Linked DNA regions of Diceros bicornis minor. The protein of the gene in region 2 interacts with the protein of the main gene of each other region in a pairwise test. Links are inferred from orthologs where the notes say so. Each region holds a gene or a part of one and is shown on either strand. Other genes may lie near its edges.

Region 1 (7,704 bases), on a different chromosome or scaffold from region 2:
GATAAGGAACTCCTATAACAACTCAACAACAACAAAAACAAATAACCTGATTAAAAAAATGGGCAAAGGACTTGAATAAACAATTCTCCAAAGAAGATATACAAATGGCTAACAAGCATATGAAAAGATAGTCAATGTCACTAATAGTGAGAGCAATGGAAATGAAAATCACAATGAGATATCAGCTCACACCCATTAGGATGATCTCTATCGAAAGAACAGAAAATAACAAATGTTGGCGACGACGCAGAGAAACTGGAACCCTTGTGCACTGTTGGTGGGAATGTAAAATGGTGCAGCCATAAGGAAAACAATATGGAGGTTCCTCAAAAAATTAAAAATACAAGTACCATATGATCCAGCAGTCCACTTCTGGGTATAAGTCCAAAAGAATTCAAAGCAGGATCTCAAAGAGATATTTGCACACTCATCTTCATTGCAGCATTATTCATGATAACTAGGAGATGGAATTTAACTAAAATAATAAAGATGTATTTCAAATTTTTTTTTAAATGAGGATTAAGAAAGCTCACTGAATTATTCATTGAAGGGTTACTGGTGACCTCTAAGAACGTTGGAATAGCACTGAAATCAAATAGTGCAGATGGAAGGCAGAAGCCAGACTTGGGGAAATTAGGAAGGGGTGGGTAGTAAGGAAGAGGAGACAAATATCAACCATGCATTGTGAAGTTTGACAGTGGAGTAAAGGACAAATACCGTATGGACTGGGGGGAGAATTTTGTTCACCCAAGTTAAATAAGCTCCGACTTGATTGAAGTAATGACCTGAGTTATTGTCTCTATGTTACAGAAAAAAGAGAGATGCTGAAATGGACTAGAGGGCACAATTCAGAGGTTGCAAATTGCCACTCAAATTTGGCTCAAATATGTTTTCTTTGGCTTGTGTCTTTAAAAAACAAATTGGGTTAGTTAGCAAAATTTTTTAATTATAAGATTTTTCCATAAAATTCTGGATATCTGTTACCCCTTGAAATTACGTCCCCATTCTCACACGGCAACAACTGGCTGGAGCTGCGTACCAGGAGTTCCCTTCAGAAGGGAATGTGCTCTCCAGTCCCCACTCCTCCTTATTCTATCTCACCTGGCCAACTTTATATTGACAGTTCCAGGCTGGTCCAAGCTGGTATTGTTTGCAATCCCGGTTACACAGTAAGGTGAGCTTGTGAGGGGAGAGGCAAGATAAGCAATAGAATTGTGAGTTATCTTTTTACCTCTGGGACCACTCCTTGGTCTTTCTTTAAGGCTCCACTTCTTCCTTCCCCTTCCTGAATCAGTGTGATCTCACTCCTCTGTTCTTTGTCCATAATTTCTTCATCAAGGATCTCATTCATTCTCATGGCTTCTGCTGTCACCTCTACAGATACATTCCAAATCTACATCTCTCCTCTGATCACCTCCCTGATATTTTTAACTACATACTAAACATTTCATTCATTCAACAAATATTTATTGGGCATCTACATGTGCCAGGCATCGTTCCAGGCTATGGGGATACAGTAGTGGCAAAATGAGCATTTGTATAGAGAGACAGTCAAAACAAACAAATGAATGGTTTATATAAGTTAATGTAGTGATGCCATGAGGGAAAAAAACAGTAAATAAATAGAGATTTGGGGAATAATTGTGGATGAGGGTGAGTTTTTCTTATTTTTTCCCCTCCACAGTCCTGGTAGGGAGAATCTCACAACAGGAGATAGCTGTCACTCTTCACCAAACCAAGATGCTCTATCACTCCCTGTCGCAACCCCAGAGCATTTATTCAGTGATGTCCTGCCTCGTAACATTATTTTTCTTATTTACCCAATTAGTTGGACAGTTCTCTTAGGAACAGTGAGGTGTTCATACTCAAAACCTCAAGGAACTCTGCACATAGTAGGCATTCTGGGCTGCCTTTACAATTGTGCAAGTTGTGTCTGATTCAGAGTGCCTCGCCTGGGGGCTGACATCCAGGCTGCACTGTACTGCGAAACCAGTACTCACAGAGCTGCATCCATCGAGACTGGCGGGGCGGGGTGGGGGGCTTCTTTGGCTATTGAGGCAGTAGGCATTCATACTCACTTCTCAAGGTGTAGCTGAAATTTCCCCTCTGTGGAGACCTCCCTGACACCTCCCCTGTGCCCACACCCTGAAGTGACACATAAAGCTGTACGATAATCGTTGGTGTGTGCGCCTCTCCTAGAGAGACTAAGTTTACTGAGGGCCAGTGTTCCGTGTCCAGAACCTGGTACTCAGGAAAGTGTTCAATAATGGTCATAGAATGAATAATGGCTCTTGAAGGAAAGCTCACGGGGGAGGCAGAAAAATGCAGAGCTAGGACAGAGTTACAGATGAAATGCAGAAGACTAGCATCGGGAGGGGTGTGCAGGCAACAATTCCTAGTTGTGGCTCTGCGTGGAACCATTATAATGCTAGATCAAACATAAGGTACAAGAGATGTACAAAGCTGAATCTTTGCATCTACGGATTACTACAGACTTTGTCACAATCTTGTCCCATGCTGGACATATGACAAGTGAAAAGAACTGAGCCTCTCGTGGGTAAGGAAGCTGCCCTTCCTACTGCTGTTTTACAGCCTGTAGGAGCTCATGTTGCACCAAGTCCTTGTAATTCAGAAAAGGGGAAGCTTAGTTTCACAGTGGTTTTCAGGTCTTGAATCAAAATTTTACTAGAGGTTCCACCAAATCACAACCTGTGACTGAATCTCACCCCTCATATGATTCTCATTACGTAGTTTTTTCGTGGAAGTTCTAACAAGCAGTAAAATTGCAGCCAATCAAGAAATCAAGAGGAAAAAAATAAAGTAGAGAGTCTGGATTTGCTATTACAAGGCGAGTCAGCTCCTGAAAAATGGAGTGTCAACACTGAGCCTTCTTTCCCAGAGCAGGCATTTTCTTCTTTTTGGAACTCACCAGATCTTATTGTTCTTGGGTAAAATAGATTAACTTTCTATACTAGGTTCGAGGAATAAATGATAGCAATTGTATAAGTGACAGGCTAACTTTAGGTGCCAAAATTTCTTGGTATGTAAATGAGAATGTACAGAAAAAGTAGACTATACACGTTCAAAGAATCTGCAAATCCAAGTCCTGCCAAGAGCCAAGAGACTTCTGTGAACTTAAAAAGACTCCATGCCAGAAGCATGAGCCAGCACTGCAGAGGTTATAATTTCTTGCTCTGCGTTGTGTCCTCTGCACTGTCTAATGCCATAAGAGAAGGAAACTGAGATAGTGACGGAGCCATTTCTTTTCTTAATAACATTTTTTAAAAGAAACGTGAGCCACAAGGTATCAGTTCTGAGGACCTAATTAATTTACTTGCAATAAAGTGTGCATCAGGCCCAATCTGTAGCTTTTAGCAGTCCAAATGTTTCCTTGTGTTTCACACCCAGAGCAATCTCAAAGGTAACACCTAGCCTGAAGCAGAGGTAAATGGGCCAGGTGTAGAAAGACGATTTAAATTCGAGTTCAAGGTTCTACTGCAAATGCTGTTTTAAACAAGGTCATTGCTCAACTACAACAGTGTGATAACCCAAAAATGGCTTCTACCATGGGAAGAAAGTGCAGCGCTTTGAGAACTAGAAAAAGCAGTTCAAGTCAAGTTAAATTCTTGCATTTACATTTCAGGGGGAATCCTTTTGGGGGAGAGATTTTTCTATACACAGGAACAAACTGAATACTGTCCTGTGTGGCTTTATTCTACCTTTCACCTCTGTAGTAAATGCCTTTTCTATGAAGAGCTACTGGCTGACGGGGGCTCAAAGGCTATCAGTACGTGGGTGGCATTTCCTAAGCGTATTCTGAGTAGGAGTCCACGGTGACCTCAAAAGGCAGGCTACCTACTGGGCAGCCAGGCTGTGAGCAAGAAGGTTGTATATTAACGTTGCTCAGCGCCCATAACGTTGTATCTTTATTAGATTAGATAATATTATATATTATACGCTAGGCTGTGAAGCAAATAAATGCACGTAGGGATATGACAATTCACATAATTATATAACCTGTTTTAACCCCACTCACCACTCAGGGTGATTAGGTTTTCTTCTGCCTTTGCCAGTGGAAACCAGTTACTCTAGCGCTGTCGATGGGTGTCAGGATCCCTTTACTCTGAAAAGCTTATAAGGTACAAACAGCAGGAAACAGGAACCATCAGGGCTTAGAAACATGTCGGAAGGAGTGGCTCAGAGGGGTTTCCAAACCGATTTGCTGGTCCTGTATCTCCTGTTCTGGTCAGAACCCTCCTTCGGCCTGAGGCTCCAGGTGGAGATGAGGAGGCTCCAGGTGGAGATGAGAAGTCTCAAGGTGGCGGGGAGAGAGAGACGCGAGGTGACTCAGGCTGGCCGGAGCTTCCCCGTCGCGGCCCCCCGAGCGGGCTTGGTCGCGGACCGAGGCGAGCCTGCGGTCTCCAAGAAGACCGAGCGGGCCGCCCGGGCCGGGGGCCACCGCGTGGCGCGCGGCCGCGAGGCGCCCCCGCCGCAAGTTTCCGCGCACGTGGCCGCGGGCGGGCCGCGCTCCCCTCCCCGCGGGCTCCCGAGCGGCCCGGGCGCGCGGCGGCGGGCGGGGGCGGGCCCGCGAGCAGGGCTCCTGGCCGCTTTCCAGGTCGGCGCACTAATACGGGCGATGAGGCTTCGCGGCTCCAGTCTGACTGACGCCGGCTGGGGCCGCCGCCGCCGCCGCCGCTGCAGCCGCTGTCTCGGTCCCCGCCGCAGCCGCCGCCGGGCCCTGCAGCCGCTGGGCGCGCGCAGCCAGGCAGTGAGTGCGCGGCGCTCGGAGCGGGCGGCCCGGGACCCACCGCGGGGGCGGGGGGAGCCAGGCCTGGGGTGGGGGGAGGGATGCGTGGCATCGTGGGGACAGGTAAGAGGTGCCCTCTCCGGCGCGCGCTGGGCGAGTGCGTGCGTGTGTGGCTAAGTTTTTCTTCCGCAAGGGAAGTCTTGGAGGCTCTTGGGCGTGTGGCTTGGTTCTTTGTATTTTTCATACCTCTATTTCTTGGTAGAGCCTGTTTGGGGTGGGCTGGGTGGGCGAGAAGGCGGAGGGGACAGCTGCGGGGAGTTGGCCGCGTGCCCTCCTCACGGCCGCACCCGCCCGGGCTGCCGGCACCTGGGACCTGTCAGAGGATGCTTGTCCCGCGGCGGGGGCGCCGGCCGTGCGCGCTGTGGCCCGGGGCGTGGGCAGGGATGCGCGCTCGCTCTCCGCCCCGGGCTGGGCACCGCGCACCGACGACAGGCGCCGTGGAGACCCGGGCTGGGAGCTGAGTAACCATTTGCTGTGCCGGGGGAGGGCTGGGTGGGGGGACAGTGGAGAAATGGGGGTGGGGGGTAGTAATTGTGACTCAGCTGGCCTCCCTGGCCTCCTATCTCATAGGCTTTTTACTCTGCTTACCTTTGAGGCACGCGAAGTGAGCAAAAAAAAAAAGTTAGGAAGGTTATTCAAGTGTCTCTGGGCTAGCCCTTGGATTGTGTTGGGAGCTGGGATGTTTGTCTTTTCCTTCGCCTGCCGTTCGGTGCCAGCTCTCCGCAGAGGGGAGGGGGGCGAGGTGGGGAACAGATACAGGAGACTAACTGACGCCAGCATTGTGATCGGAAGGAGGAGCGCGGGGGAAACATTTTTATGGATGGCTAATCGCTGACAAGTCTTCCCGTTACTATTCCTTCCTCCTCCCACCCTTGACAGTGGAAATTTGAAATGATAGTTTAGAAATAACTCCGTTGACTTGTTTCTGGGCTGGAACTGGTACTTCTGAGAAATAACCTACAACTGATGGAAATCTAGTTTTGGAATAAAATTGCATGTAAACACTCACAGTCGGATGCACACCCACAGGACACTGTGGATTGCTTTTAATGGATCCAGTTTACCGGTACCTGTTCCATGGCTTGCCAGATTTCTCGGGTGATCTTTTGAAAGTGTAGTTTAGCAGGAATAATAGAGGATAACTGTAAAGTCATAAGGCATTTAATAATGTTACCTCCTTGGCCGTAACTAAGCGGAGTATTTGGGGCATCGTTCTGGGTGTGTGAAATGTTAATATTCCAGGCATATCATCTGCTTTAGGAGTCTTGTCGGTGTGAGGGAGTGCCATTGGAAGCTTACCTGTTAAAAATAGCGATCTATATTTAAAAAGGAAGTAAAAGAAAAACCCAAACACATTCTCCTAACTCCAAATGGACAGTTCATTAAGTGAGTTTCTGTATGCTTGTAGGAAACCATGAAGAAGATTTTGGACCAATTTCAAGTTTGTTGTTATCCAAGAAGGACACTGCAGATAAGAAAATGATGTAATAGTTTATAAATAAGGAGCATTTTAAATATGACAGAAGTTTCAAATAATATATCAGAAAAATAACCTTTAGTGATGATAATTGCCTTCATTGATGGCAAGACAACTGTCTTTAGCAGACAGCCTTCAGCCTCTTAATCTCTTCTGACACAAGCAACTCCCATTTTTATGCTTGACTGGCTATCTTTGTCAGAGTTGTTTTATGCTTCAGCTCTGTGGTTTCAAGCTATGTTTAAGAGAATGTCAACATATTCTTAATCTGAGCAAACTCATTTTTATCAGTACAGTGTTTACTGAAAATCAAAGATATAAACAAATTTTAGGTTAAACCACTAAGTACTTTACAATTCTCACGTCTTTGTCATCAATCTTTTAAACTCAGTATGAGCTCTTTGACTTTTCTCTTTTTAAAATCTTTTCTATCCCAAGTTAATGAGCAATCAAAAAATATTCACAGATGTCAACCACTGCATCTCTGATCGCCCAAGACATGGAAACATGGAATGAGAAAGAAGAGTTTTCGTTTTCTTTTTTTTGCCTAGTGAAACATTGGCAAGGATATCTATAAGTAATAAGCAACTGGTAAATTTGTTTATCCTTTCTGATTGCATGGTCAGTTGGAGGAGAAAAAAAATCTGTTAAGAAATTATTTCGTAGTGATTAAAATATTCAATTTCAGTTTTACAAATAGTTTAATTCTGATTAATGAGAGTGCAATTTCCCTTGCCAAATTGGAGAGATGGTGTTTAATAAGTAGTCACTATAGCACTTAGGCAACTAACTAGTTTATATCTGACATTCTTTCTGCAATAAATAAAACAGCAGTTTCATCATATTCTGCTTTAATGTGTCAGAAATAATACTTATCCACAGAATATATTCTGATTTAAGGGAAGGTAAAGGTTATGGAAAATAAAGTTTTTTTTTAACATGCAGAACATAGTACATTAAATTTTAAAGCTCTAACGAAGCTTAGTGCAGATTTTCTGTGTATTGCTTCTAACATTTAGAGAGGAATTCAGAAACAGGGAAGTGTCCAGAATAAAACAGTAATTGCAGCAGTACATTGAAAGCATGAATCTCTTCAAATAGTTGTAATTCTAGGCTGTTGGATTTATATTTCCTTGGTTACAGTTGCCAGTGAGTTGAAAAGTTATTCTAAAGGGGAAAAAAAGCCAACAGTAAATTCATAAGTAGTTATAACAGTATGAGCGCTTTAGTAATTTTTTTTGTTAACCTAGTGAATGTCCATGTCATGAGTAGGGATATAACAAAAAATAAATACCCCTGGGCAGTAAACTAACCTTTTAAAATAAGTATTCCTATAAATTATGTCTCTTAAGAAATATGTGCTAACTAAAGTTGTTAAGATTTCAAGATAATTGTTAGCATTGGAAGCCATCATACCCCT
Region 2 (7,169 bases):
ATATTTGGAGCAGGACACAACATATCACTCTTGCTCCCAGGGTACCAATTAAAGTGAGTGCTGGATTTCAGTCCTCTTTAACCCCTCTAATTAAGCAATACAGTAATAATCTATTATTTGACTATCTTAGAATTGGTTATATCCAAATCAAAGCTTACACTATTTTGACTCCTACTCTTTAGCTAAGTCTGCTAACTGCATCATTAGCTATTTTGAAATAAAATTAATAACAGTAAGCCAATTTTACAAATACAAATGACACAGTGAATTCACGTTGGGTGAAAAAGGTAGGAAGTTTCAGGGCAAGTGGGGAGAGGGACATATTGAGAAGTTATGTGTTCAGCAGTCCATCACCCACTAAATTTACTTTCTCTCTTTAATCTTGACAGGCATCACTCTGATCAATATCAGCATCATTTTACAGATGAGGAAAGGGAAGCTCAAACTCTCGCTCACCACCCCCACCCCCCCCCACCCCCCCCCCCGCTCATGGTGCTCTAACCACTCTAACCCACAGCAAGACTCCTGCTCAACTGAAGGCCTTTCTTCTTATAATCTCTGCCCAGAATGCTCTCCTGTCTCGCTACAAGGCTGTCTCCTTCTGCTGCAGTTCTCATCTCAAACAGTACCTACTCTTAGCATCTCTAAAGCAGTATACACCAATCACTCCATCCTTGCTTCCTTCACAGAACACAAAATGATCTGTATTCATCTTCCTCTTGTGCTGAAGGACAGAGAGACTCTGAGCCATCACTGCTGTATGCTCAGCATAAATGCTGCTGCCTTAATGAATGAATGAACACACCTGCCTAGAGCCCTCTAGCAAGTCAATGGCAGGGCCTGGAAACCAATTCAGATAAATCTGACTGCAAACTGCTGCACTGCCCAACCACTACTTGTTTCACTGGTGGGAGGTGAGGTGCTTTGGGCTGGGAAATCAATTTAGAGGTGTGCCTTCCTTTCTATATTCATTCACTTTAAAGAAATTACAGAACTACCTACATGTACACTTAACACTACAAAATATTTAACCAAAATTTCAAGAGATCTTACATTTCCTTTTAGTGTCACAAGTCAATTTGAAAAAACACTGCATTTATGTTGCCCCTTAACAATCAAAGTATTTCGAAACTGTTAATTGGCATCTGCACATCTAGTTATTTAAGGCTAAAAGAAACTTTAAGTCACACACATAAATGCATTTTACTAACAGGCTTGTAATACTTTGTTCCTTTACAAGATGTTTTCAATTTCCCAATACATCATACAGAAAAACTTTAAAAACCAGCCATGGGATCGTCCTTCTGACAATGGTAATAATGTTCTTTCTTAAGGAAAGATGACCCAAATACACTCCATCTGTTGCGTTTCACTATTCTCACAGGTCCCTGCAGACAGAAGTCACCGCATGTAAAATGCCAAGTGCGCTTAGAGAGGACCCCTCGCACCCCGCCCTTTGTTACCTTACCCGGGGGTTAATACTTACTGCTGAGTCCTCCATCCTCGGATGCTCCTGTCCCTCTCATTCCTAGGTAAGTCAGTCCCAGTATTAGAAAGAACAAGCAGGCAGCAGTCAAGAGAAACATCGACAAGTAGTGGGCACTGAAACCCCCCGTCGGGGACACCTCCTCGCGTTTAAATTGCTGGAGAAGTTCCTCCTCGGGTTCGGACAGCTTCGGTTTGCTGTAGGTGTTTTTCAGGTAGGTGTGATTCGAGCCCGTGTGATTGGAGTGATTGATCCTGAGTGAACTCGGGGCGGCCGCCGCCGCACTGGGAGGGAGGCTGTTGGAAAAAATCCTGGGGGAGTCCACGCCGAAGGCCCCCCCGCCGATATGATTATTGGTTTTGAGCAGGGAGCCCGTGGAGGAATCCAAGGTGGAGTCCACGTCCGCCAGCGGCGGGGGCAGGAGAGGGGCCAGCTTCTTGGCGTTGACACGGAATCGAGGAACGGGGCTGGCGTCCAGCGGATCACACCCTCCTCCCTGCTCCGCCGCCGCCTCCTCGAGGCTCCGGCCCCTGTCTAGACCGCCGGCGGCCGCCGCCCTGTCATTCATCGCGATTCCTCCCCCTCCCGGAGCGGAGGGCTCCGCGCGGCCGCCGGCGGCTCTGGCCGGCGGCGGGGACAGAGGCTTGCCGTGGCTCCGTCGGGGCCGGGGCCGGGACAGGGAGTCGTCCTTCAGCACCTGCCTGGCCGCGGCCACGTCGTCGTCGTCCTCCTCCTCCGAGTCCGAGTAGTTCTCCCGGCAGCTGTAGGGGAGAAGCCGGCTGCCGTTCACGGCGCGGCTCGCCCACGGCGGCTGCTCGGCCTCGGCGTCCCGGTCCCCGCCGTCCTCGCCCTCCCCGCCCTCGCCCTCCGCGGCCCCGTCCCGCCCCGCCGGGGTCTCGGGCGCCGCCGGCCTCCGCGCCCCCCACCACGAGTGGGGCTTCCTGCGCTCAGCCGGGCTGCTGCTGGTCCCCTCGCTGGCGGCCAGCGGCGCCGCCGGCGGCCGGAGCGCGCGCGGCTGGAGCGCAGCCCGGTCTCGCCTGCCGCCGCCGCCGCCGGCCTGGTCCCGGGGACTGGCCTCGGCGTCCGACTCGTCCGAGCTGAAGCCCAGCAGCACTTTGCTGCCGGCCGTGGGGGCGGCCGCGGCGGCCCCGGGCCCTCCCCCTCCCAGGGGGCTCTCGGGGCCCGAGGCCGCGGCCCGGCCCAGGCCGCCCGCAGTCCGCAGGTAGGAGAGGTCGCCCGCCCCCGGCCGGCCCCCCAGCCCCGCCGCCCCCGCCGGTCCCGCGGCGGCGCCCGTGGCGGCGGCCGTGTTATTGTTATTGCTGTTCCGCGTCTTGCTGCCGCGGCCCCCGGGCCGGTGCTGCTGCTGCTCCTCCTCGCGAAGCTTCTTCAGCTTCTTGAGGTAGACCGGGCGCGTGCTCTCCGTCACGGGGCCCGGAGACAGGCCGTAACGGCGGAGCTGCGAGAAAAGCTCCTCATCCGAGAGCTGCTGAGGCGCCGAAGCCGCTGCCGCCGCCATTTTCTCTCCAGGGTGTTTTACAAGCTCCGCGCTCCCGGAAGTGACGCGCCGCCCTAGACCCTGAACTAGACCGGCTGCGTCGCCCTCCCGGCGCCCGGCGCCTCGGCCAATGGGAGGGCGGGAGGAGCTCACCTGAGCGGGAAGCGCCACCTGAGCGGCGCGCGGCGCCCGCGGCCGGGCGGCGGTCTGCGCGCTCACCTGGGGCCGGCGCGTGCCCCCTCCGTGCTGTCGCCGTCTGCTGCGGTCTCTGCGCTGCCCTGTCCTGCCCTGCGCCTTCCCCCCGAGCTGCCTCTCGCTAAACCACACCTTGACCTCTTCTTCCCGGCCTCCTGCCACCGGGCACTGAAAGGAAATCTGCCTTGAAGTTCACGGCATTCGCTTTCTTTCCATCCAGATTCCCGCTGCCGAGGGAGCCCGGAGAGACTCAAAGAAACCCTGAGGGCCAGACTAGATTGGCAATCCCTGGCTGACTCCTGGTTCTCTCTTTTCACGTTGTCTTTCCGCTTGACTTACAAACAAAAAAAAGTGAGTTTCTCTCGCTGCTCTTTTTGAGAAGCCTCTCCACTTCCATTCCAAGAGAAAGAGACGGAGTAGATACACCAGTCCCAACACAGTTTTCTTCAAGAGGAATGGCTAGTCATTCTTTAGTTGGTTGTAAGGTATGATCATTTTTTCCCTTTTTTAAATCTGATGACCTCGATAGGTTGTCATTCTTGTAATTGAAAGAGCCTTCTCATTTGCTTCGTTCTATGAAAAAAAGACAAGCCATGCTACTTATTTCCTTCTTAGCACCTTTCCAACCTACAGTTATTTATTTAATTATTAATTGTTAATGACTTTTTATGTATTTTTTAAATGATAATATTTACTTAATTATTTATTGTCTTATTCCTTTGAACTGTCCGCTCCCTGAGCAGAGGAGCCTTGCTTCTGTTATTCCCTACTTCACTCCCACATTGCAATGAATTGCAGAGCTAGGATGGTATGAGTTGAATATTTTGACATGGGAATAGTGCAGAGGAGGAGGAGAAGCCTTCACACAAAGTCAAAAAACCGGAGACATTTGAGACCTGGATAGCCAACCCCCTCCTTTACAGAATAGGAAATGAATCCCAGAGAGGTGAAACTTGCCCAATTTGGTAAAGGTGGCTTCCCTTTTCCTCAACCCCTGGCAGAGCTGACACTTCTTCAGTACTTAAACCGTAGCAGCTACACGGTGGCACCTAGCATGATATCTGGCACATTATAATAATTTTTTGTCGAATGAATTGTTTTACCCTATTGCATTTTACACATCTGAACCAAAACAAATGTTAATCAGAAGCATAGATACCAGCTTTTCAACATCCTGAGTCCAACAGCACAGTAATACTCAGTAACTTGAATTTTCGACTTCTCGTAGCAAAAGCTTGCCATCTCAAAAAAACTTTTATGTGGAGGGTCACTTCCTTGTCCTTATCAGGAGACTTTAAAATCTACAGATGTTCCTGAATCTATGACTGTTAAGCACTTAAGACTGTTTGGCACAGTCCATTTTAGCCACTATGATGATAATGACACAGAATTTATTACCATAATTTTCTGGGTGGGAAATCAAATGATTACAAACTTACTGGACCTGTGTCTTAGTATAGCAGGGTGGTTAAGCTGTGAGCTTTGGAGTTAAACAAAACTGGATGTGGACCCAGCCCTGTCTCTTACATTTACTCTTAGTTCAATATTTGTTCCACACCCTACTGGTTCTTCAGGTAGGAATCATAGAAGTCTATTGGTTCAGCCTCTGATTTTCATGAACCTTTAAATATCTTCCTATAAGGATTGTCAGACCATTTGTCTTTCTGCCTGTGACTTTGGGCAAGGTGTTTACTCTTTCTGAGCCTTAGTTTCTGTATAAACAAAAGAGGGATGATAAACCTTCCTCAGCAGGCTATTTTAAGGGTTAAATGAGAATATGTCTGCATAATGCTTAGCACCATGCCTAACACACAATGTGCACTCACTAAATGTGGGCCAGTAGTGTAAAGCCGAGCATTGTGTGTGCTTGGTAGCGTGGCTCCTGAGAACTCCATGTAAGAGCAGTTCAAGAAAATACCCCTGTACAGAAAGATATGGAAGTGGTAAAACTTTGCCCAAGGCATTCAATAATCACATTTAATAGTTAATGAAGATGAAGGGCTTGGCCACCTTAGTCCTTGGTCATTTCAGCTCTTGGGGGCAGCAAGGTTTGGAATGACCTAGGAACTAAAGTTCTTGAGTCTCCAAGTCATATGACTTAGGGCAAATCTTAGGCTCTCAAAACCTTAACTTATTCTTTTCTAAAATGTTGATAATATTGTCTACCCTCCTTGGCACACAATTAATATCCAATAAGTATTTGTTGAGAATGATAAATGAATTTGGTATGTGAAAATGCTGTTCACATCTGTTGTTTACATGTTAGGTATTATAGCCAGATATTAATAACAATGAAAACTACAATTGATATAAAATTTACACTTTACAAAGAGCTTTTATATAAATGGCCTCCTGTTGTCTATAAGAAACTCTTCCTCCTTGAAGATATTGAGGGTGTGATTTATTGCATGGAACTGTGTGGGGTTGTAATGACCCTTGTTTGGGTGTTTGAGCAGACCCAGCACTTCCTCAGGAGAACCTTCACTGTCTCAGCTCTGTCACTGCTCACTCCCAGCATTCTCCTCATTACCAATGGATCTTATTCCTGCTTCCAGATTGGCTAACTTGAAAGCATGAGGCTCTAGATTGGCAAACTGCACCCAAATGCTTGAGAGGGAATGCAATCCCAAACTGACTCCTGCTCTAGAGCTTCCAAACATTTGACTAAGGGAAACATTTACTATGGATTTTAGAAGGATAGGCGGTTCATCTCTTCCTCTAGATGTTTTTAATTTCATCTCTGCCTTAAGCCTGCTCATCAGAGACCAGTGTACCTTGGGCCACATTCCTAACCCTGTACTTCCCCCAGTTCCCAGTAAAATACCTTTCACCATATTACCCTTCATAGTGATGACACCAGCTCGTATTGAAGGACCTTCTAAAGAATGATATGAAACCCAACATTATGTTCAAATAAAAATTTTGCTGAGGGTTCTTTCCCTTAAAAAATGTCCTTTCTGGTCTCACTATTAGAAATAGTTGCACTTTTCCAGACAACTCATTTGTTTTGGTTTTGCTTTGGTTTTGCTTTGTTTTATTTTTTATTGAGATGAAATTCACATAACATAAAATTAACCATTTAAAAGTGTACAATTAGTAGCATTTAGTATATTTACAATATTGTGCAACCATCACCTCTATCTAGTTCTAAAACATTTTCATCACTCCAAAAGGAGACTCTGTACCCATTAAGCAGACATTCCCTATTTCTCCCTCTCTCCAGCCCCTGGAAACCACTAATCTACTTTCTGTCTCCATGGATTTAACTATTCTGGATATTTCATATAAACGGAATCATACGGTATGTGACCTTTTGTGTCTGACTCCTTTCACTTAGCATAATGTTTCTGAGGTTCATCCATAATGTAGAATGTATTAGTATTTCATTTCTTTTTATGGCTGAATAACGCTTCATTGCATAGTTATACCACATTTTGTTTATCTCTTCATCTGTTGATAGATATTTTGGGTGTTTCTACCTTTTGGTTGTTGTGACTAATGCTGCTGTGAACATTGGTGTACAAGTATCTGTTTGAATACTTGTTTTCAATTATTTGGGGTATGTACCTATGAATTTCAGATTATATGGTAATTCTGTGTTTAACTTTTTGAGGAGTCACCAAACTACTAATTTGTTTTTAACCTTATGGATGGCACTGTTGGTTTGGTGACTTGCCATGTTTCCCTCTTTGAGGAGACAGCTAGGAAGTTCAGACTCAAATTTGTGGCCTAGCCATAGCAAGTGTTTAGCTCCATAGCATATATTTTATAAATTAATCTCATTGCTGACTCCATCTAAATTTTCTAACTTTATATTCATGTGCCTCATTTTTTAAAATGATTTTAATTTTATTTTATCTTCCTAATATGATATACGTCTTTTTAGCTGCCTTTTAATTATTTTGGGAATACCATATAATTCTTCTGACAATCCAAGGGGTGGGTTTTATTAGTTTTTGTGTTTTACAGATAAAGAAACCAAGGTTAGAAAAG
Region 3 (7,139 bases), on a different chromosome or scaffold from region 2:
TAAAAGGATCAGAGATAAGAAGTATATGGTCCTCTGATATTTTAGAAGGTCCCTAAGGCCAAGTTAAATTCAAGATCACATGAAGCATGGTTCAGGACACGCATCAGAGCTGCAAAGGTCCTTATCAGCACCCCCAGAGCATCTGTTTCTCCACTACCAAATGGAAAGCTATTTAGACAATGCAGACTGAACATCTCTGAGTTTATCTTCAATTTTTTTTGAAAAATTCAGAGTTCTGTAAGCCTTCTCCTCTTTTAGAAACACTATCATTCCCAGCGAGTTCAGCTTTTCCACTATAAACAAAAACTATGTACCACCCATATCTGAAGTATAACGCCAGACTCCTGCTTAGCTGCCCCTGTAATATGGTTTAATTATGATGACTGAACTAATAGGCTGACATCATAGACTTTTACAGGCTGACCCCATGTCATCCTGATGTATCATTTTGCACCAGTTCAGTGCCGTAAATCAATTTAAGATCTCAAGCAGGTTGAAAAGGCTGGTAATGATGCTTTCTCTGCCGTCTCTGGAGACTCTACATTATACACAACTTACATTATTTATAAACCCCAATGATGCCTCCATTAGCCTTGTAAGACTATACAAATGAGATCTTTTATACACACACAACTTGGCCTTGATTGTGTAGGCGACTGCAGCTAAAATATACTCGTCTAATTACACTCAAGTTTATTCTTTTTACAATCTGTTATTAAATTTTACCTTTAACCCAGGATTACTAGAAATCAAAATTACAAACTGAAATTTAGTTTTTAACTAATAGATGTATTTGGGAAAATGAGACTTACTTCCTTTTAATGCTTTAATGAACTTAGGTAGCAAAAATTAATTAAATTCCAAGAGGTGTAAGAGGTTAACATTTTTAATTGCCTGAAAATTGTCATTTCTCTAAAATGCAAAGGTCATCAGCTCATCAAGGGTATAAAACCAAAGGATACTGCAAAAAGGAAAAATGTATTTAGTTACATACCTATGGTTGGAGGAGTCAGAACTAAATGAAGGACAAATCCCTACCCTCAGAAGAAACCTGATCCTGCCTGGATCCTCCAGAGGCTCTGGCATCACCCACCTCTAGAAAAATCATCTCTCACGACCCTGGTTACAGTTTCCTAAGAATTGCAATATTACACAAATGTGCACCACCTGCACAGAAATATCAAATAACTGCAAATGGAAAAGAGGGTGGAAGGGAGGGGGGAGGAAAAGTACTTTAATCAGTACAGCATATTTAGGCCTGGCACCTACCTCAGAATAACAATGATGCAAAATATTTACACTAATTGAAAACGCTGGGGCAGTGAACAGTGATTCTGCCTCCATTCTTTTTAAACAGTGGTTCCAACACACCTCACCTACCTCCAATAAAACGTAAAGTGGTAATTATGAACAAGATGAAAAATCAACACAGGCAGAGAACAGTTTTCTCATTGTGTTTCTGAACGCAGGCATGCTCTCCACGACAGGCAATTAGAGCGAGAAATGTTCTGAAATTAAGGCATTCTGTGATTTAGCTGCTAAGTTTCAGCAAGAGGAAGACATACAGAAATCATGCAACTTCTGTATCATTTCACAGACGTTGAAACTTCAGATACAATGGAAAGAGGAGGACATATGGGGAAAGAAAAAGGCTCGTTGTCACAGCACTCACGAAAACGATGCTTTCTCAGGAGATGGTTCTGAGATGCGCCTCGATTTTCAGAAGGGAAGCGCCTTACTGGTTATCTTGCACCGTGTATTTAAAAATCGTCTGCGCCTCAAAATAAACAAAAGCCGCGGCTACTGTAGTTGTACGATCCGGCAGGCATTTGTTCCTCCTCCCTCCTAAAGTCCATCAAGGAAACGCTTTCCCAGGAAGCCTTCATATATATCAAGCAACCAGAAAAACAAGCCCACGTCTGTCTCGCTCACACCCACCACCCCCACCTCCCTACAGAAACAACCCCGAGAAACACTAACAAAGACAGGGAGCCGAGTCAAGGAACACTTGTTCAACCGCGAGCTCACAAATGCACATGCAGTGAGGCAATCGAATCCGGTCAAGGGAAAGGAATGAGACGACACTTGGAGACGGAGGGGGGTGTAGGCGGAAGAGGGGAAAAAAAAAAAAAATTACCCGCCGCCGCCGCCAAACCTTTGAATAAATTAGAGGGAATTTCAGTGCGAACTCTCCTTGACCTCCACCCCCAAGAGGCTCGTTGGGGCAGAGAAGGGGACCCGTCGGGGACGCGGAGGGGCCCAGGGCACCAGGTGTCCCGCTCGTGCGGGACCCGCTCCGCGCGGCGCCGAGCGCGTCCCGAGCCGCGCCGACAGCCGCCCTCCGGCGCCCGCAAGAGTGGCCCGGGCCGGCGCGGGACACAATGGGCCCGCGGGCCGCGCGGACGGGCCTCGGGCCGGCTGCAGAAACGGAAAGAGAAACGGGGCGCGGGCGGAGGGGGAGGGGACCCGGGAGGTCCCGCCGCGGGCAGGGCCGGGGCCGAGGAACGCGGCTTCCCCACCGCAGACCCAACAAAGACGCGCGGGGAACCCCGGCCGAGCCCTGCCGGGCGGGCTGGGCGCGAGGGGTGGAGAAGGTGGCAGGTTCGCTCATCCGAGCGGCCGGAGGCGCCATCATGGGGGGGGGGGTCCCGGTCCGCCCCGCACGGGGAAGAGCACCCTCCCGGCCGCAGCCCGCGCCCCCGGCGCCGCACGGCCGCGGCAGCCCTGCGGGCCCGCGCCCGCCGCAGCGGAGGCGGCGGCGCTGGGAAGCCGGGGGAGCCGAGGGGAGGGCGGGGACGCGGCAGAAGGAAAGTTGGTTTCGGGTCTGTTTCGTTTTACCGGGTTGGCGGCGCGCCCGTCCGCGCAGGGGCACGAGTGGCGGGGCGAGCGGGGTCCCGCGGCCCCGGGCTGGCCCGCCGGGCGCTGCGCCGCGCTGCGCTCGCAGGGTCCCTCCCTGCGCCTCGGCCCGCGCTGAGCCGCTCGGCCTCTCCTTCCTCCGCCCGCTCGCTCCCGGAGCCTGGATTGATCTGGTCGCGCTGGCGTCAGGGAGTCGGAGCCGCCCAGCCTCCACTCCTCGGCTGCCAATACCCGGCGCACTCGCCCGCCCGCCCGCTCACACGCGCACCCGCGCGCCGCCGCCGCCGCGCGACCAGGGATCCTCTCCAAATTCCCGGCCCGGCCAGCGCAGCGGGGCCTGAGGACGGCGCGGGCGAGCGGCCCGAGCCACCTCCCCCGCCCCCAGCCCCACGCCCAATTTATTCCAACGAGCAAAAACAACTCCGCGCGTTCCGACTTTCCTCCCCCTGCCTCCTTTAGTCCCGGTGGAGCGGACTTGGTGCATTATCTGCGAGGGAAGTTCTGTGCTCAGTGTTTATTATCTGGAATGTTCATCAGCACGTCCACCGCGCCCACCGAACCGTACTACAAACGTGGAGCGCATTTTTGACAATTGTCTTTCGAGCCTCGCCTTTTTATGTCTCGTTTTCATTGCCCCTCACTCACTCCCCAGTGATTTGCAAGCCCCAGAAGTTGCACGTACCCAGAATTGAATAGCTAGTAACTATTGCATGTGCTTATACCAAACCCTGAATCAATACATGGGTTGTGCGCCAATTTGGGATCTGAGTCGAGTAGGTAACTTCGTTGCTCAAAATAATGACAGATGCCACAATAGAACTCTAAATTTCTTATCCAATTTCTGCAATCTTTTAGATGACACCAACCCCTCAAATTAAAAACAGACTAGCTCTTCTCTACCTGATCTGCATAGACGGTGAAAATATATTTTTGTAAGAATTACATTTTCTCCTGGCCAGCTCCCTGGAACCTGGCATGAAATCTTGGATAATTACCATAATGTTGAGTTATGTTTAGAGACAAATAATTATTCTGAGGAGTAAATTTCACATGAACCAAAAGAATCATTACCACTAATATAAAGAAAACATCAAAGACCTCTGTAAACTAATGGTACTCTCCAATTGTTCCTGTATGTTTACATGTCCACATTCCATTTAAATTCTTGTTTATTAATTATTTTATTTCTGCATTCCATGTTTAATTATTCAAAGGAAATGCAACAAATCCCATAAAACACATGAAATACCAATTATAGATCAGAGTATTTCTGTTAATTTCTTTGTTAAGCTATTTGAGCACTTCCTGGTCAATTGTTGAGCCTCATCTTATTTTCCCTAAAAGCAGCATTGACACAGTTCATCATTCTCTGCTCCCGACAGCTGGAGTAAGCCTTGTTAAATGCCACTCAGATCAGGTCATTCTTCTGCTCAAAACCTTCCCTTGGTAAGTGGAATGTGCTCTATCCATACAAGGGAACATCATTCAGTCATAAAAAGAAAAGAAGTACTGACACATGCTACATGGATGAACCTTGAAATCATAATGCTTAGAGAAAGAAGCCAGACACAAAAGACCACAAATTGTATGCTTCCATTTATATAAAATATCCAGAATAGGCAAATCTGTAGAGATAGAAAGTAGAATGGTGGTTACCTATGTTTGGGAGAATGGGGAGGTTAGGGGGATAGCTAAAGGTTATGGGGTTTCTTTTTTGGGGTGACGAAAATGTTCTGAAATTAGTTTGTGGTGATTGTTGCACGACTCTGTGGATATACTAAAAGCCATTGAATCGTACACTTTAAATGGGTGAATATATGGTCTGTGAATTTTATTTCAATAAAGCTGTTAAAAAAAGGTATGACAACTAAAAGTAGTGTACTATCCTTGATTGGATCCAGGATTGAGTGGAAAAGCTATAAAATGACATTATAAAACTGTTAATTTTTTTAACCTATAGGTGACCTTTCTTAGTGCAGTCCTCGTAGCTACAAATGATCATTATTAATACTATGCAAGCTATGAAATTTGATTTTTGCCCCTTGTGCAAATTATTTCTTTAAATAGTAATAAAAAAAATTGGACTTTTTAAAAGAGGACATTATTGGGACAATTGTGAAAACTGGAATGTGGGTTGTATTTTTTTTTTTTCTTTTGTGAGGAGGATCAGCCCTGAGCTAACATCCATGCTAATCCTCCTATTTTTGCTGAGGAAGACCGGCTCTGGGCTAACATCTATTGCCAATCCTCCTTCTGTTTTTTTCCCCCAATGCCCAGTATGTAGTTGTATGTCGTAGTTGCACAGCCTTCTAGTTGCTGTATATGGGACGCAGCCTCAGCATGGCTGGAGAAGCGGTGCGTCGGTGCGCGCCCAGGATCTGAACCCGGGCCACCAAAGCGGAGCACGCTCACTTAACCGCTAAGCCACTGGGCCGGCCCTGGGTTGTATATTATTATCATTATATCAAAAAAAATTTTTCCCTTGACTTCCCATTTCACTCAAAATAAAAGTTCTCACAATGTGGACAAGAGTCTACACGATCCTTCCTCCCTGCCCTCCGTTACCACTCTGACCTACTCTCTCTCTTGCTCACTTCCTTAAGTCACCCTGGCCTCCTCACAAATCCTGGAACAACCTGGGCATACTCTCACTTCAGGACCTCTGCACCAGCTGTTCCTCCCTGGAAAGCCTTTCCCAAGATGTGCACATGGCCCTCTGCCTAACCTCCCTCAGGTCTTCCCTCAAGGGTTCCCCTCTGGATGAGGCCTACCCTGGCCACTCTACCTAAAATCTAACATCCCCCCGCCCATACCACTCCCAAACACATACTTTTTATATCCTCTTCCTTCCCCTGTGTTGTATGGATGTTTCACTTATCACTACCTAACTACTTAGCCAAAAGTGCAGGATTTTTATATTTTCTATTATTTCTATTATTATTTTATTATTTCTATTAATTCTATTATTCTGTTCTATTATTCTTTTTCTACTTAGCCAAAAGTGTAGGTCTGTTCTGTTCATTGCTAACCTCTCAGTGCCTAGAGCAGTGTCTGGCACCTAATAGCTCACTAAACACCTGTTGAATGAATGAATGAGTGAATGAATGAATCAAACACTGTTCAAGTCACAGGGGATATGGTGGCAAACAAAACAGATAAAAGTCCCCACTCTCATCAAGGAAGACGAATAATGAATAAATACACAAGTATGCTAGGTGGTGTACACGGGATGGAAACAGCAAAGTAAGAGGGATTGCGAATGGGAGAGGCTGCTATTTCTATAGGGGTAGGGAAAACGTCACTGAGAAGAGATCCTGAATGAAGACAGAGAGCATGCTACATGATCAGGGGAGGATTTCCAACCTCCCAAGCAGAGGGAAGAACAAGTGCAAGGACCTTGAAGTTGAGTCGTCTTCACCCATTCACAGAAGAACCAGAAGGCCAGTGCACTGACGCAGGGAGGAGCCGACTGCAGGAGGGAAGGCAGTGTGTGGGTCCAGGTGCGCACAGGCTGGTGGCTGCAGAGGTGGGAACAGAGGGACATTGTCTTCTCTCTGCTTCTGTTAGCTTGATGAAATAGCCACGGACCCTACTTCCTGAGAATGGTGAGTGTAGAAGAGACGTTGCAGGTTGGAAGAGAAAGGAGTGGATATCAAACAGTTATCTTCTGGGAGAGTTTGAGAGCACATGAGCTACGGAAATGTAGTAGGATAGCCAGGCAGTGCTATTACGTGCCCATTTGAGGTTAGTGGTTATGAATTTAAAGCAAGACCGGTCAGCACGGCTGTGGATTTTTCTCTAGCCTCGGTCAGCCTAAGGGGGCAGAGCTGGGGTTTTGCAAGTGGGTGTGATGGAAGGAAAGAGGGTCAGAGAGCAGAGGGTGTAGGCAAGGGAGTGACTGTGGGGGGACTGGGATAAGGAGGAAGGTGAGGACATAAAGAAGTGGGGGGTGATGGAAAGGTGATAAGATGGATGGATAGAAGGTCCCAGTGGGATCCAAGAACTGCTTCAGTTGGGAACCCCTCCCAAAAGCTGGGGAACGGTCTGAGAACAGGACGCTTGAAATTGAAATCATGGAACTGGGACAATTTTGCATAATGCCAAGATCTAGCAGTGTGACCAGATAAAGTGGATGGCTGAGGTAGGGAGGAGGACAAGATTCTCAGAGAAAAGAAGGTATCAAGGAACCGAAGGCAAATTAATTACGCTTCAAATTAATTTGACAAATTAACCATTTGTCAAAAAAATCAACTACTAATCATTTACAATAAGGAGAACCCTTA

The links.
Region 1: the proteins of LEMD3 (region 2) and SMAD9 interact in binary tests that used the Homo sapiens proteins (3 or more experiments, as listed by UniProt). The link is inferred for Diceros bicornis minor from reciprocal best matches to the Homo sapiens genes LEMD3 and SMAD9.
Region 3: the proteins of LEMD3 (region 2) and SMAD1 interact in binary tests that used the Homo sapiens proteins (3 or more experiments, as listed by UniProt). The link is inferred for Diceros bicornis minor from reciprocal best matches to the Homo sapiens genes LEMD3 and SMAD1.

The regions. Positions count from the first base shown.
Region 1 is NC_080748.1:19,317,797-19,325,500, reverse strand, and holds the start of SMAD9 (mothers against decapentaplegic homolog 9), read left to right. Parts: upstream 1-4,672; 5' UTR 4,673-4,768; intron 4,769-7,704. UniProt on the Homo sapiens protein: Transcriptional modulator activated by BMP (bone morphogenetic proteins) type 1 receptor kinase. SMAD9 is a receptor-regulated SMAD (R-SMAD).
Region 2 is NC_080756.1:5,486,365-5,493,533, forward strand, and holds the start of LEMD3 (inner nuclear membrane protein Man1), read right to left. Parts: upstream 3,021-7,169; 5' UTR 3,003-3,020; coding exon 1,487-3,002; intron 1-1,486.
Region 3 is NC_080750.1:34,664,254-34,671,392, reverse strand, and holds the start of SMAD1 (mothers against decapentaplegic homolog 1), read right to left. Parts: upstream 3,086-7,139; 5' UTR 2,839-3,085; intron 2,015-2,838; exon of another isoform or gene 1,673-2,014; intron 1-1,672. UniProt on the Homo sapiens protein: Transcriptional modulator that plays a role in various cellular processes, including embryonic development, cell differentiation, and tissue homeostasis.